Arabidopsis thaliana: one gene and its partner. The gene in region 1 interacts genetically with each later gene. Each region holds a gene or a part of one and is shown in the gene's direction. Other genes may lie near its edges.

The links.
Region 2: of TIP1 (region 1) and CEV1, changing one enhances a phenotype caused by changing the other (phenotypic enhancement), as found in Arabidopsis thaliana (one study listed by BioGRID).

What each region holds. Positions count from the first base shown.
Region 1 is NC_003076.8:6,874,293-6,878,049, forward strand, and holds the start of TIP1 (Ankyrin repeat family protein with DHHC zinc finger domain-containing protein), read left to right. Parts: upstream 1-2,148; 5' UTR 2,149-2,479; coding exon 2,480-2,737; intron 2,738-2,841; coding exon 2,842-2,982; intron 2,983-3,103; coding exon 3,104-3,216; intron 3,217-3,711; coding exon 3,712-3,757. Other genes in the region: BG5 (beta-1,3-glucanase 5), read left to right, coding at 495-1,559.
Region 2 is NC_003076.8:1,533,900-1,537,656, reverse strand, and holds the start of CEV1 (Cellulose synthase family protein), read left to right. Parts: upstream 1-2,098; 5' UTR 2,099-2,409; intron 2,410-2,519; 5' UTR 2,520-2,566; coding exon 2,567-2,590; intron 2,591-2,762; coding exon 2,763-2,958; intron 2,959-3,076; coding exon 3,077-3,282; intron 3,283-3,375; coding exon 3,376-3,478; intron 3,479-3,590; coding exon 3,591-3,757. Other genes in the region: AT5G05180 (myosin heavy chain, striated protein), read right to left, coding at 1-564, 661-733. UniProt on the Arabidopsis thaliana protein: Catalytic subunit of cellulose synthase terminal complexes ('rosettes'), required for beta-1,4-glucan microfibril crystallization, a major mechanism of the cell wall formation. Involved in the primary cell wall formation, especially in roots.

The sequences.
Region 1 (3,757 bases):
CAAGTCCATGTATGTTTAAGTTGAGTTTGTTAGTTATACAAAAACATCGATTATACATGAATTTACTAGTTATATATATTTTATATTTATGTATCAGTTTAATTATTTATGTACTCAAAATTCCTGTATTTTTGGATACGTTTCTTCTAGACAACAAAATTCAATTGGGTTGATTTCAGTTTGTTATGGAATAGTAAGATTCAGTTAAACAATAAAATGTAAATAGAAAGTAACTAGTTAAAAAAGAAAACACCAAATTTGTAAATAGATCGAGGGCTAAGATTACACCAAGAACCAAAATAAAAGAATTTTACTATTTTATTCATACCAATAAGACTGAAAATAGACTCAGATATGCATCTATATATGCAAACAAATATTTTGCAACAAAACATAATAACACAAATCAAGTTTGGTTCTCTTCTTCTTCTTCATAGAAGTACGATCTTAGGATATCTCTATATACACACATTTTGCAGAAAAAAAGTTTCATCATGCTCTATTTGCCTAAGAAACTCTTCTTGTTCTTCTTCTCGTGCATTGTGGTGATTGTCAACTACAACAATAGTGACTTCGTAAACGCAGCAAATAGCATTGGCTTCGTAAACGCAGCAAATAGCATTGGCTTGAACTACGGTCTCCTCGGAGATAACCTCCCATCTCCGTCAAAAGTTATAACCCTTTACAAGTCCATAGACATCACTAAAATCCGAATCTTCGACCCAAACACTGAGGTTCTTAACGCTTTACGTGGCCATCGTGATATTGCGGTCACAGTAGGAGTTAGGGACCAGGACTTGGCTGCTCTTTCAGCTAGCGAAGAAGCTGTTAAGGGCTGGTTTGCGACCAACATCGAGCCTTACTTATCCGACATCAACATCGCGTTCATTACTGTTGGTAACGAAGTCATCCCCGGACCAATCGGTCCTCAAGTGCTTCCAGTCATGCAGTCTCTCACCAACCTCGTCAAGTCAAGGAATCTTCCTATCTCGATAAGCACGGTGGTGGCTATGTGGAACCTCGAGCAATCATACCCACCTTCCGCAGGAATGTTCACGTCTCAAGCGCGTGAACAACTTGTCCCCGTGCTGAAACTATTATCCCAAACAAATTCGCCTATCCTCGTAAAAATCTACCCTTACTTCTCCTATGCGTCCGACCCATCTAGCATCCGTTTGGACTATGCCACCTTCAACACTGAGGCCATCGTGGTACAAGATGGATCACTGGGCTATTCAAACATGTTTGATGCAATCTTTGATGCGTTCGTGTGGGCAATGGAGAAGGAAGGCGTTAAAGATTTACCAATGGTGGTGTCCGAGACCGGATGGCCATCTGCCGGGAATGGAAACATTACCACGCCGGATATCGCGGGTACCTATAACAGAAATTTCGTGAAGCATATAGCAAGCGGAAAAGGTACACCTAAAAGGCCTAACAAAGGCATCGACGGGTTTTTGTTTGCAACTTTCAATGAAAATCAAAAGCCGGTCGGGACTGAACAAAACTTTGGGTTATACAATCCGAATGATATGAAGCCCATCTACAATCTATTCTAATATGTGTGAAAGTTGCTTAGACTTTCCCGATTCATCAATAATTATGTTACACTAGTTGTTAGTGAATTAAAGTAAAACTAACAGTGATATATACACATACTATAAGCAACTGAGATGATGAGATCTCGTCGCGGAACTTAGTTGACTTTTGTAAAATTATTATTATTTAAAAGCAATTTCTCTGGTTTAGTAAACGTACTATGTTTCTTCATATATTTTTTTTTCTTCTAAAATCATTCCATTATGTTTCTTCATCTATTAATACAAGAGTATGCATTTTCAAAATAATACTTTTTTTATATATATATGCAAACCAGTGTTTTTTTTATCAAAATAAGAAATCACTGTCCCAAAATGATTCAATAGTTCAAGGTTTTATAAAAGATTTCTTAACATTTATAATATAACTCTTTTTGTCAAGATATGAAAAATGAAAAAGTATCTCTTATGATTAAGACAGATGTTTTGATTCGTTCATATTCCATTGAACTATATATATATCACTCAACTAGCCAGGTATAATATTTCCCATTACATACAAAAAAAAATGATCATGAAATTAATCAATTTATAAATGTTGGTTTTTTTTTTTTTGGTTAACACTAAAACCAAAAAATAAAATAATGTTGGGTTTTGTTTGACAAAAAAAAGTTAATGAAATGAATGAACGATAAGAATTGAGAGCAAGTCTGTCTCTGACCCGTCTTAATCCGATTCTTAGTCAATTTTTTGAGTTCGTCAATCATATTCTTCTTCTTCTTCTTCCTCTGATTCCCCCAGAAAAAACCTAGCTCCTTCCCTCATTTCCCCCCAAATCTCACGACTTATTTATGCTCGGGGGAGACTAATCAAAGGTCAAAATCCATTAGGGAGGGAATCGAATCTCGATCGATCTCAATTTCTTCTGAGAAAAGAAAAAAATGTCATCGGAGATTGAGGTGGTGGAAGAAATCCAATCGAATCCCAAGGAGAATGGGGAATCGAGTTCTAAAGGGATTGAAGAAGAGAGCTTGAAGAACGATGTCTATACTGCTGCCGCTTATGGTGATTTGGAGAAGCTTCATAGATTGGTTGAGTGTGAGGGTTCCTCTGTTTCCGAGCCTGATGCTCTTGGCTACTATGCTCTTCAGTGGTCTGCCTTGAACAACCGCGTCGCCGTTGCCCAGTACCTTATCGAGGTTTTGTGTCATTTTACGAATTGTTTGTTGATTGCTAAATTAGATTTGAACTAGTGGTTTTCAAGTTTCTAAAACTGATCCTTCTCGATTTCTGGTTTTTCCAGCATGGTGGAGATGTAAACGCGACGGATCATACTGGACAGACTGCATTGCATTGGAGTGCTGTTCGTGGTGCGATACAAGTTGCAGAACTGTTATTACAAGAGGGTGCAAGAGTAGATGCAACGGATATGTATGGCTATCAGGTTCATATCTCTTCTTTAACTACGCGTCCATGTTCTCTGCTGACTTCTATCAAATTTCCCTTCTTTTCTTGTTTAGTTCTCAATGGGTGTATGTTAATACTTAATTTTGAACTGCTTGTAGGCAACACATGTTGCCGCACAGTATGGCCAGACTGCTTTTCTTTGTCACGTTGTCTCAAAGTGGAATGCTGATCCTGACGTGCCTGATAATGATGGAAGAAGCCCCTTGCATTGGTATGCTTGCTGCAAAGCTTGCCTTCGTGAAATTGTTACTTAGTAATTGGTTTTTGGCTTCTTTTTATTTTTTCTTACAATTGTTTAGCCTTGCACGCTTATTTGGAGACTGGATAATTGGTTTTATTTGTTCCCTTTTCTTATTATTCCTATAGATTTAATATCTCTTCGTTCAATTTTGTTCTAGTTGCCAAGTATACTGGGTGGATTAGAATTAATTTTTGTCAACTATTTGCCTATGATAGTTCTCGAGTTTTTGTTATGAAGATTTGTGAATACGTATTACTGTTTTCCATCTAGAGACTAAGGTTACATAGGTTATTTTCTCTCCCGTTTTTCTTACTGAGACTTCGTTACCGTTACATGGATTATTCTACTGCATGATTTTTAGCTTTCTTATGTTGACCTTTTGATTTTATCCTATTTTTACAGTATCTTTTCAGAAGACAGTTCTAATTTCGTCTTTATATTCTTCTCATAATTTGAGAAATTCAGGGCTGCATATAAAGGTTTTGCAGATTCCATTCGCCTACTTTTATTT
Region 2 (3,757 bases), 5.3 Mb from region 1:
AGATTTCAGAAAATGACACATCTAAACAGTCCCTACTCACCTCATGCTCATTCACTAGATGCTCAAATTTGAAACTTAAGTCTGAAAGCTCAGTTTCCAAATCAACCACCTGTCTTTGCACCTCGAGAACTCGCTTTCTCTCAGTCTCAATAGCTATGTCCCTAATCGCAATTTCTCCTTGTGCGATTTCTCGCTCACCACGTAGATACTCGCCAAACAGAACAACCGATTCTTTTTTCTCGGTCTCCTTTAGTTTCTCAATCTCTTGCTCAAATTCTTGAAGTTTCAAACTCGTAGTCCTAAGCTCTTCTTCACACTGGACATATTTCTTCATCAATTCTTCATAACTCATTTGTTTCTCCGGGGATAAGTCATGGCTATCCATTGACCCTGGTGATACGAGGTGATGGTTAAAAGATGAGTAAAAGGCCTCCGTGTCCGAATCTAAATCGGAATAAGAAGAGTTAGAATCATGATTGCCAGAAACATCAGAACTTCCTTGGTCAAAGTTGGAAGCTACTGTATCAGACTTTGGAGTTACAGGAGGTGAAGATCCATTGTGATCTGAAACTTGACAATTGATATGTCTAATAAGATTTCTACGTTTGAACGGAAACGCACACAACCAAAATAAGACATGAATGAATTATACGGTTATACCTGTTGAGATGTCCACAAAGGAATTCGAATTATGTGGCCACTCATCTGGGACCTCAACTGTTGTAAAATCCATTACACTTAAACAACAAAAAGCGAATCAACTTAAAAATGATCAAGCAAAAAAAAATCAAAGAAACGTAAACATAGAATGATGTAACAGAAAAACCCTAAAAATACAGAAGATATACGAGATATAAAAACTGGTAAGATTTTTATTTACTTTTTTTTTTTTTATACTCCTAAGATTTAGCTATAACTAAACGTATTTATATTTTTTGACCAAAAAAAAAAAAAACGTATTTATATTTATCTCTACAATAATTTCGATTAAAAATATCTAACAAAAAAAAAAGTTGTGATAATAATCAGTGGAAAACTATCATGAAGAGACAAGCTAATGTTCTTTAATTGAAATCTTAGAAAATAAAAAAACTAGGGTTGCGTAAATTTTAAGACTTTCTTATGTCACAGAACTGAACTTTTTTCACTACATGTAAACAGAAATTATAACTCATTTGCAACGGTGAAGAAACATAGACAAAGACCCTCCATAAATCTCAGAAAAACAGAGCAAGTAACTCAGATCATAAGATCTACAAAACACATCAACGGAACAAACAAATATCAAACCCTGAAATCTGATTCACATAGGACCAAATAAACATGAGATTTCACTGACCTTGAAAATTGATATGATCGAGGGAACAAAAGAGCAGATTTACAGGAAAAGTGAAGGAGAAACAAAGGAAGGTTTAAGTAGAGGATTGCTAGGGTACGAGAGTTACGAAGCAGAAGGTGGAAAGGTTTAAAGGGACGACAAAGAGGAGGGAAGATTTGTCGGATAGCGAAGAGAAAGTGGCGCTCTTTGGGATTCAAATGTTTGCCATTTTCTTCTTTTGTCTATCTGACAGTCTGTTCTTTGCTGCACTAGTGGCCACACATCTCCACATGCACCACCAGTTATCAAAGTTTGACCTATTAATTATTGGGTTCGGTTCGATTCAATTTTCTCTCGTAAATAACGTAAACCGAACATATACCAATTTTGTCTGCAAAGTCCAACAAACCCATTTTCTCGATTCTGTTGGGCTTGATGATACTAGAGTTGGACCTTTATTTTTTCAGCCCGCTGGTTTTAGCCTATTTTGATATACTAGTAAGTAAAGCATCACTATCAATATATTTTGATTTATTCATTGGACTAATCCGTTGATTAATTAATATTTTGAAGTTTTATTTTTGTCGGCAAATACTTTTTAAGTTTTATCTGTAAGAAAGTTAGTGACGATGAATATCCTTTACCCCACTACTTGTGATTTGTTGTGTTCTTCACACTTCTATTTTAGTTATATCACTATCAAATATCAATTACTATTTTGATTTAGTCACTAATTCGATGATAATATATTTCTAAGGATATTTTAAAGGTTTATCGGCCGTTTTTTCACTTTTTTTACAGCCACTGTAAAACTGTAACTAGAAAAAAATCGACTGTGGAAGTTGTCGGTGGTGGTGGTGGTTGTTGCTTGGTTGGATTATGATTTGTGACAAATATATTAATATTTTAAAAATCTGGAAGAGTGACGAGTAGAGGAGACAAATAGCTTGCTCTTTGCATCTTCTTAGCCATCCCAAGATTCTCCTCTTCGTCTTCCTTATAAACTATCTCTCTGTAGAGAAGAAAGCTTGGATCCAGATTGAGAGAGATTCAGAGAGTCACATCACCACACTCCATCTTCAGATCTCATGGTAAAGCTTTTAACTCTTCTTACACTCATGATCCATTCTCAGATTTGACTTCCTTTACTCGGATCTCCTCAGATCTAATCGTAGTTTCTGTTTTTGATAATTCCGATCAGATTTGAACTATTCCGACGTTTCGGTGTTGGAAGCAACTAAGTGACAAATGGAATCCGAAGGAGAAACCGCGGTATGCTTTTTTGACTCTTGCTTCATCATTATACTTACCTTTATCGAAATCAGGAATTATATGTACTGAAATTGATTGATTTGGGTGTTGAATTGTGTATTGGAGAGATCTGATTTCAAATTTTCTGTTGAGGTTTCTAATTTTGGCTTCATTGATTCGACTTGATTTGTAGGGAAAGCCGATGAAGAACATTGTTCCGCAGACTTGCCAGATCTGTAGTGACAATGTTGGCAAGACTGTTGATGGAGATCGTTTTGTGGCTTGTGATATTTGTTCATTCCCAGTTTGTCGGCCTTGCTACGAGTATGAGAGGAAAGATGGGAATCAATCTTGTCCTCAGTGCAAAACCAGATACAAGAGGCTCAAAGGTTCTCTTTTGATCCTTCTGAAGTATACTGTCTTCATTGTTCATCGATAGTTTATCAGTATGTTTTGAATTTTGGATCAGATTGGTATTTATAGCAATTTGCTAATTTCTGATTCTAGGTAGTCCTGCTATTCCTGGTGATAAAGACGAGGATGGCTTAGCTGATGAAGGTACTGTTGAGTTCAACTACCCTCAGAAGGAGAAAATTTCAGAGCGGATGCTTGGTTGGCATCTTACTCGTGGGAAGGGAGAGGAAATGGGGGAACCCCAGTATGATAAAGAGGTCTCTCACAATCATCTTCCTCGTCTCACGAGCAGACAAGATGTAAGGCATTGCTGTTCATTCTTCCCTCTTAAGCATTCGCATCCTCACGCAATTTAGTTTTGGAATCTGATTTTGTCATTTGCTTATTTACAGACTTCAGGAGAGTTTTCTGCTGCCTCACCTGAACGCCTCTCTGTATCTTCTACTATCGCTGGGGGAAAGCGCCTTCCCTATTCATCAGATGTCAATCAATCACGTAAATATCCTTTATTTCTAACTCTCTCGCCAACACATATATTTGTACCTAGGCTTCTCTTTTATGTCAAAACTCTAAACAATAAAATCTGTTGTTGTCATTCACGCTGCAGCAAATAGAAGGATTGTGGATCCTGTTGGACTCGGGAATGTAGCTTGGAAGGAGAGAGTTGATGGCTGGAAAATGAAGCAAGAGAAGAATACTGGTCCTGTCAGCACGCAGGCTGCTTCTGAAAGAGGTGGAGTAGATATTGATGCCAGCACAGATATCCTAGCAGAT